2 linked regions of the Mus musculus genome follow. The protein of the gene in region 2 interacts with the protein of the main gene of each other region in a pairwise test. Links are inferred from orthologs where the notes say so. Each region holds a gene or a part of one and is shown on either strand. Other genes may lie near its edges.

The links.
Region 1: the proteins of Epn2 (region 2) and Wbp2 interact in binary tests that used the Homo sapiens proteins (3 or more experiments, as listed by UniProt). The link is inferred for Mus musculus from reciprocal best matches to the Homo sapiens genes EPN2 and WBP2.

What each region holds. Positions count from the first base shown.
Region 1 is NC_000077.6:116,084,683-116,088,592, forward strand, and holds the start of Wbp2 (WW domain-binding protein 2), read right to left. Parts: upstream 2,314-3,910; 5' UTR 2,244-2,313; coding exon 2,185-2,243; intron 1-2,184. UniProt on the Homo sapiens protein: Acts as a transcriptional coactivator of estrogen and progesterone receptors (ESR1 and PGR) upon hormone activation. In presence of estrogen, binds to ESR1-responsive promoters. Synergizes with YAP1 to enhance PGR activity.
Region 2 is NC_000077.6:61,577,220-61,581,129, forward strand, and holds the start of Epn2 (epsin-2), read right to left. Parts: upstream 2,469-3,910; 5' UTR 2,348-2,468; intron 2,298-2,347; exon of another isoform or gene 1,199-2,297; intron 1-1,198. UniProt on the Homo sapiens protein: Plays a role in the formation of clathrin-coated invaginations and endocytosis.

The sequences.
Region 1 (3,910 bases), about 55 Mb from region 2:
ACCCCCTGATGCTGGAGTTACATGTGGTTGTGAGCTGTTCCATATGGATGCTGGGAACTAAACCTGGGTTCTCTGGGAGAACAGGAAGTATTTCTAACTGCTAAACCAGCTCTCCAGCCCCTAGTCCAAGCTTCTCTAGCTGCAGCAGCAGAAAACTTCTGCACATAAAGCCCTTAAGATAGGGGCGCGAGTGCGTGTGTGTCTTTGTGTGTGTATGTACTCAATTCTCTGGGAAGAGTTCACAACTTTTCTTTTTCTTTTTTCTTTTGGAGACAGGGTTTCTCTGTGTAGCTCTGGCTGTCCTGGAACTCACTCTGTAGACCAAGCTGGCCTTGAACGCACAGAGATCTGCCTGCCTCTGCCTCTTGAATGCTGGGACCAAAGGCATGCACCACCACCTCCCGGCAAGTTCACAGCTCTTATCTCTATCAGTGGTTTGTGAATTAAAGATTAATGTTTACAAGTTTAAATTCCAAAGTTTGAGCATCATACTTAAACTTCAATTATTGCTGACACATTTGTTTCAGAAGTGTGGCTCAAGTTATTCCTTAGAACCCTACTGGTAGCAATGAGCTATGAACCAGGTGCTGAGGCCCAGGAGGGTAGATACCACCTAGGTAAGACTCAGTTTAAGAGACAAAAAATTCCCAGTATGGTAGCACATGCCTTTAACCCCAGCACTCAGGAGGCAGAGGTAGGTGAATCTCTGTAAGTTCAAGGCCAGCCTGGACTACCTAGTGAGTCCTGGACAGCCAGGGCTCTATTACACAAAAAACACTGTCTTGGAAAAACAAACAAAAAGGAATCACTCCCAAATAATGAAACTAAAGAGCCCTGGTGAATTCCTTGCACTTAAAAGCCTGAGGTAGGAGGACTGCCTCAAATTCAAGGCCAACCTGGGCTACAGGAATGAAACCATACCTCAAAAACCAGAGAGACTGGTAGAAGTGGGGACAGTCATTAGATGGCATCAGAGTACTTGGCTCAGCCAAAGAACTGGACAAAGTATACCAGAAAACAATGTAAGGTTTCTCAGATTACAAGATAAAAAGGTTTGAGTTCGTATGGTTCCATTCAGCTGTCTCCTCCTGTCCCAAATATCCTTTCTTGGTGCAATAAAAGAGGGGCAGCTCAGGTTAAAGAAGTGGTCACCAGGCACATGTGCTGGCCAGCCCCTTCCCAAGACCTACGCACACGAGGTCAGCAGAACCTGGCCTTGTCACTGCCACCTTCTCCTCTGAGTCAGCTTCCCAGGTGACAAGTCCCAAGATGGGTGCCTGTCTACACTGGGTGTGGGCTCTGACCTCCATCATGTCTCTCTTGGCTCTCAAGTTAATCCAAGCCCGGATAGTGCAAGTCAGGAGAGTCAGAATTCCAAGGAACAAGAAACAAGAGGAACAGAGAAGCCCAGCAGTTCAAGGAGGGGAGAGAAAAAAAGAATCTTAAAGTTGGGAGACCTTTGTTCGGGGAACTGACACAAGCCATTAAGAATTCAAGAGAACCAGGCAAGAGACAAGCCTTTATAAGGGTCACCGGGTTAAGTAGTTGACAGACATTTAGTTCCACCACCTCTAGGGCCTCAGCCTTTCTTTTGGAACTTGAGAAGTTCTGGAATATACGAGAAAACTGTACAGGAGTAGTTAAGCCTATTGACTTTGGGGCCAAGTTACCTTCCTTCAATTCCCCTTCTGTTACTCACAGCACAATGGTCTAAGTTATTTTAACCTCATTAGGCGTCACTTGCCCTACCTGTAAAATGTGTCTAATAGTTTCTGCGGCACAGGATTATGTATTACCTAAGGTAGAGCTGACGCAGCATAGTAAAGACGTAGTGAACGCCTAATAAATAGCAACTATGTTTTAAGACTTCGTTTGGGAAGGGGTTCAAGAAATCACCCGTGGGCCTCACTCGGCTTCCCAAACAAACCCTGACACCATTCTCTGGCCCCACCCCCACCCATCACCCCAGCTGATCAGCACTCCGGCCCTCCCCAACGACCCACCCACTCCCTCCAGCCCCGCCTCCGGCCGTTACCACCCCTTTCTCCCTCTTTCCTCCCCCCCCACGCCCCCCCCCCCACAGCGCTCCATCAATTTCCTTCTCCACCATATCCCACCGCCCACCACACACAGTGGCCGACACCCGCCCTTCAAGTCTCCAGGATCCTTCCGCCGTGTTTTCACCTCTCAGTGTTGTTGACGATCACTCCGCCGCCCTCTGAGTGATTCTTGTTGAGCGCCATAGTCTCTCCCACTGGGGTCCCGAGACTCGCAACGCTCTGCGCTTGCGCTGGTCTTTGGCCCGCCTCTAGTGGCGTCGTTCGTATTACAGTCAGCCAATCATAGTTCCTGCGCGCAGGCTGACCAACCACCTGATCTGGACTGTCACGTGGGGAGAGTTTACTCCCGCTCTCCCTCCCCCAAGTTGCACCTGCATCACAAACAAGCAGCCAACTACAATTCCCAGCAGGCAGTGGTCCGGCAACCGCGGCCTCGCCCTGCGTTTAGTGACGAGTGCATTCTGGAATTTGTAGTCTTTTTTTATATTATAGGCCAGGCTAGAGATTATATTTACAAGACTACTTAAACATTTGTACGCCTCTCTCATCCTAGCTTCCTCATGTTAAGCAAACTCAATCGAAGAAATGTAACTTAAATTTGATGATCTGGTGTATGGTACATTTAAACATTACGTAACCAGCCGTCTTCATTTCCGCAACTGTCATGAGTAGTTCGCGCTTACATTTGGGTATTCATTGCAAACTTACAGAGCAGTGCGAGATGCAGTCCCTTCTACAGTGGACTGGCAAAGCCCGAAAAAAATAAAATACGCCACTTTAATCGACCCAGATCCAGATCCCGGACCCAGAGTCGGACTGTGAACTTCTGGGGACTGAGCGGTCCGCTCCCCACCCTCTTCCCCGCCCAGCACCTGCCGCCTGCCGCCTCGCGATGGCGCTGCTTCCTGCTCTGATCTAGCGGATCCCGCTGCAGAAGTTAAACAGCAGGGTTTAAACAGGACCTAGAATAATTGAGTGGACTGACAAAGCACATGACCAACCGCCAGGTAGGACTTTGAAAATACCACTGACTCGTTTCTGCTAGTGGGTGTCTCCCCACTGCGCTGTAGTGAATCTAAACTCCACCTCTGAGTTGTATCTTTCGCAGGGCTGTCGAGGGTTGGGAGAACTCTTCAGTTTCTGGGTGGCATCTTAGCGTACCTACCCTTAACCTTAAGACACCAGTGTTTGGTTTGAAGCAGACAGCATGGTGCCCTACATCCTGGAACATTGCCACAGATTTGAGGCCAGTTTGGGCTGCATAATGATTTCCAGACCAGCCTCAGCTGCAGAGTAAAACAGTTCTGGGAAATGGCAGGTACATTATTAACTCACAGTGCAAGAGACCCTTCTGTTCGCTTTGGGGTTGTTTGTCTGTTTGTTTGTTTGTTTGTTTGTTTGTTTGTTTTTCTAGGTGCACACTAATAAAAGTCAAATGGCTACAGATTTTTGTTTGTTTGGTTTTTGAGAAAGAGTCCTGAGATTACAGGTGTGTACCACCGAGCCTGGGTTTACAAAGTTATGATGATCAGTTGAGTCCAGTATTCATGCACATCACGAAAAGCACTGTTCTAAGCTGGACTATGTCCCTAGCCAGCCCAGCAGTTTTTAAAGAGCATAGTCCAAGATGGGTATTAGTAATGACGCAATCAGGGATCAGAGGTGAGAGGACGGCTGGGGGTTTGAGCCCTGGCTCCTTGTTTGTGTATTCAATTCCAAACCGTCCAGCGACTCTGTCCCACAAAGATAAAACAGCAACAAATCCAGTAAAAGAAAATCCATAGCCACATCTGGTGGCACACGCCTTTAGTCCCAGCACCCGAATCAGGTGTTCACAATGGACAATGGTC
Region 2 (3,910 bases):
TGCACACAGTGGGCAATTGAATCAAATTCATTCTTTTCATGCTTCAGTCCACAAAGAACTCGAAAGTTGCCACTATTAGTGAAATTTAAAACTTCCTTTAACTTCTAGAAGAAAAAAAAAAAAAACACCATTAACATAAATCAGATTCTCCAAAACTTTTCAACTACTTTCACAGGACTCTTATCAGAATCTCCACTCTTGGGAAATCTATTCCTCATTATGAAAGATTACATAAGAGGCAGTCATATTTCCACAGAGAGGTTCTGCAAAGGATGGGCTATTATTCAAGACTGCAAACACCATGCCAGGTATCATCACTTGGAAGTTTCAAATACCTGGGCTGGGGAGAATGCTAAGCAGTCAAGAGCACATACTTTCTAAAGAACCAGAGCTCACTTCCCAGCACCCACTTCAATGGCTCACAACTAAATGCACTCCAGCTGCAGGGGGCATGACACCCTCTTCTGCACTCAGAGGGTACCAACACTATACACTGGCCCCCAGACACACACACTTTTTTTTTTTAAAGTTTCTCGTTTCTTGGTAACTCAGATGTTTGGCACCATACACCCCGCAGCGAAAGGAGACCAACACAGCCCCCATCCTTCTATCTCAGGGCTCAGGGAAAAATCCAAATACTGAACAAAATTACTCAAATCAACCCATGTGGAACAGTACTTTGCAATTCATGTTTATGAAACAACAACCCAGCCACACAGTTACACATAACTAGCCTAACTTTAAAACTAGGAAAACCAAACTTTAAAGTCACAAAAGCAGCCTGGGTGTGGTGGCCCACATCTTTAATATCTCCACCCTAAAAGGCAGATGCAGGTGGATCTCTGTGCATTCCAGGCCAGACTGACTACCCAGTGAGAGCCTGTCACAAACATAACAAAAGCAAACATTCAAAAAAAGAAAAAAAAAACCAAGACCTACAGGTGTTTCCCCAACACAATCATTAATCACAAATGCCCTAAGAAAAGCTGCAGTTCCTCCCAAGCTCGTTTAAATACAGACAAGAGCTTCATTACCAACAATACATAGATGGAAAGCTTAATTACCAATGCAAAGCCGATCACCGAGAGAGAATCCAGTATCTGCCGCTATCACTCTAAATCTAGAGTTACAAGACCACAAAGTTCCCGTTAAGTCTTTCTTATATTACATAATAGGGACATGGATCAAAGAAATTCACCTTTTTCAATCATTTCAACCCAATTTCAATCCCTTCTTCCACAGGGTATTTTCTTGACTGTGCAAAAGAAGAATTCACACTTCTTTCTCATCTTCCCTTGCCCATTTTCTTGTATGAATGTTAAAAATAGCAGGCAAGCGATTTGGGGGAATCCTAAACGTTGAAGAAATCCTTAAGTGTCCCAGAGTTGGGGCTTCCAGCTGTGTCAAACACCCTATCCCTAGATGACCTTGGGCAAGCTAACACATTTTGGGCCTTAGTTCCCCTAGTCAAAAAACACAAGAATAGCTAAATCCTATCTTTTCTGAAACATAGACTTCAAATGCGTTCCCAAGGCAGCACTAAAGTGAAGAGGCCGCTGGGAAGGACTGAGGCCCGAGACCAAGCAACAGACTTACACCGGCCGACCTAGGGTTTCTAGGGAGCTCAGACAATCTGCTCCCCCTGCAAAACCACTGGGCCAACTTCAGGTTGCAAACAAAAACCTGTTGGCCCGGACTCCTCTAGGAATGGCCTGCCTCTCCCAACGCGCTCGGCTCGCGCTCCGACGAAGCCGGCCCACGGGAGAGCGAGGGTCTCCCGGAAGAGGCCGACCCCACGCGCGGCTCGCCCACCCGGACTCGCCCAACAGGGCCGCCAGGTCTCTGCCATCCCACGCGGAACAAAAGGCAGCTGGAGCCTGGCTTCGCCGCCCCCGTCCCCGCTGTGCTGTGGAGTGGGGGCCGGGAAGGGGAATCCAGTCCCGGGGGCGAGAAAGACGTGGGGAAGAGTATCCCCTTCCCCCGGTCCCCTGAGGGAGGGCCGGCCGGCTCGGACCCGGTTCGAGGGGCGAGCACGCTCTGGGGAGGGGCGGGGTTGTTCCAAACTGAAGGCTCTGTCGCTGAGGTGTGAGGCGAGGACAGGAGCCAAAGCCGGGAGGCAGACGTCGCCTCTCTCTCGGCTCCGAGCGGGCTCAGGTGGGGCGGGGCCTGGCTGAGCCGTCCAGCCGGGTGGGGTCCGGCTGGCCGCACGGTGCACGCCCCGGCCGGCGAGGGGGAAGCCGGTGCTCTTAGGGGCGTCCACGCACTGGAAGAGAAGGTCTGCGCGCAGCCCCGCCCCGCCCCGACTCCCGAGCCACCACCACACCAAGCCCCGCGAGTCCCGGCTCACCTCCGTTCCTGGCCAGCGCGAGTGCAAGGCTGCAGCCGCCGGCGACGCGGGAGAAGCGGGAGCGACCCGAGCCTGTGCAGCGTTTGACACCCACACGCCAGCCAACATGGCGGCCGAGAGGGGGCGCGCCGGCAGCGAGCGCGCGCGCGCGAGCCCCGCCCTCCGAGCGCGGAGGCTCCTCCCACACACACTGGCTCCGCCCTGCCTCGCTCCTAGGCCCCGCCTCCAAACCGGTCCGCCCCTCCCACATATGCCCCCAAGGCCTTCTCTAAATAGCTCCTGCTTCTACACAAACCTAACAAATTTATGAAGCCCTAACTCAGAGTCCAACACATCCCCCCTACCTCAACAATTCCCCAGGGCATACATAACTACCTTAACCATCAATCCATGCTCCTCCCTTAAATCCTCAAGCACAGAACCCCGCCTAGCCTAATCAGAACCATGGTCTCCTAGTATTTCCTCTTGCACGTGAAAAATGTTGTGATGAAGAGACAGGAAGGAGGCCAGGTGCCAGACAGGGTTGATTTATTTTGCTACAAGTGCGTTCACTTCATGAAGATTCACTTATGCATATTTCAGATTTGTATACTTTTCTGTGTGTGCATTTCAATAAAAAGGTTGAGTCCAGAACTTTGGCAGCCCAAGTGGTTGAACCCTCGGCCGCTCGAGTCTCCCATGATTCATCAGGATACTGGGATTTAGCAACCCCAACTGCAAGCCTGCAGTCTCACTCTTATGCACCCAACAAAGCAATGTAGGGCCGGCCACATGCCAAGCTACAGCACACAGAGGCAGGCCAGAGATGAGAGCAGAGCCTTATACAAGAAGGTAAGGAGAGTCCTTTCCCTCTTTCCCCAAGAGAGGATCTCAGAAGGGTCAGAACTGAAGGCTAGACCCCAAAACTGCTAGCAGAGAGCCCTCATAACAGGGTCTAGGACATGAATCAGGGCTCAAGGGGAGAGTACAGGGAACTATTTCAGTTGTTTGAATATGCTTGGCCCAGGGAATGGCACTATTAGGAGAATAGGCCTTGTTGGGGTGGGTGTGGCCTTGTTAGAAGAAGTGTGTCACTGTGGGAGTGGGCTTTGAGACTCCTAGCTGCCTGGAAGACACTCTTCTGTTGGCCTTCAATTTAAGATGTAAAACTCTCAGCTCCTCAAGCAGTGTGCCTGCCTGGACTGTGCCCTGCTTCCTGCCATGTTGGTAATGGACTGAACCTCTGAACCTGTAAGCCAGCTTCAATTAAATGTTGTTTTTATAACAGTTGCCAGGCTAGAAAGATGGCTTAGCGGTTAAGAGCACTGACTGTTCTTCTGAAGGTCCTGAGTTCAAATCCCAGCAACCACATGGTGGCTCACAACCATCTGTAATGAGATCCGGTGTCCTCTTCTGGTGTGTCTGAAGACAACTACAGTATACTTAAATAGAATAAATCAATAAATCTTAAAAAAAAAAAAAAAAGAGTTGCCTTAGTCATGGTGTCTCTTCACAGCAATGCAAACCCTAAGACAATTTCTGTAACCAATCTATGCCCAAAAATTTCATTCTGCCTTTGCTCAC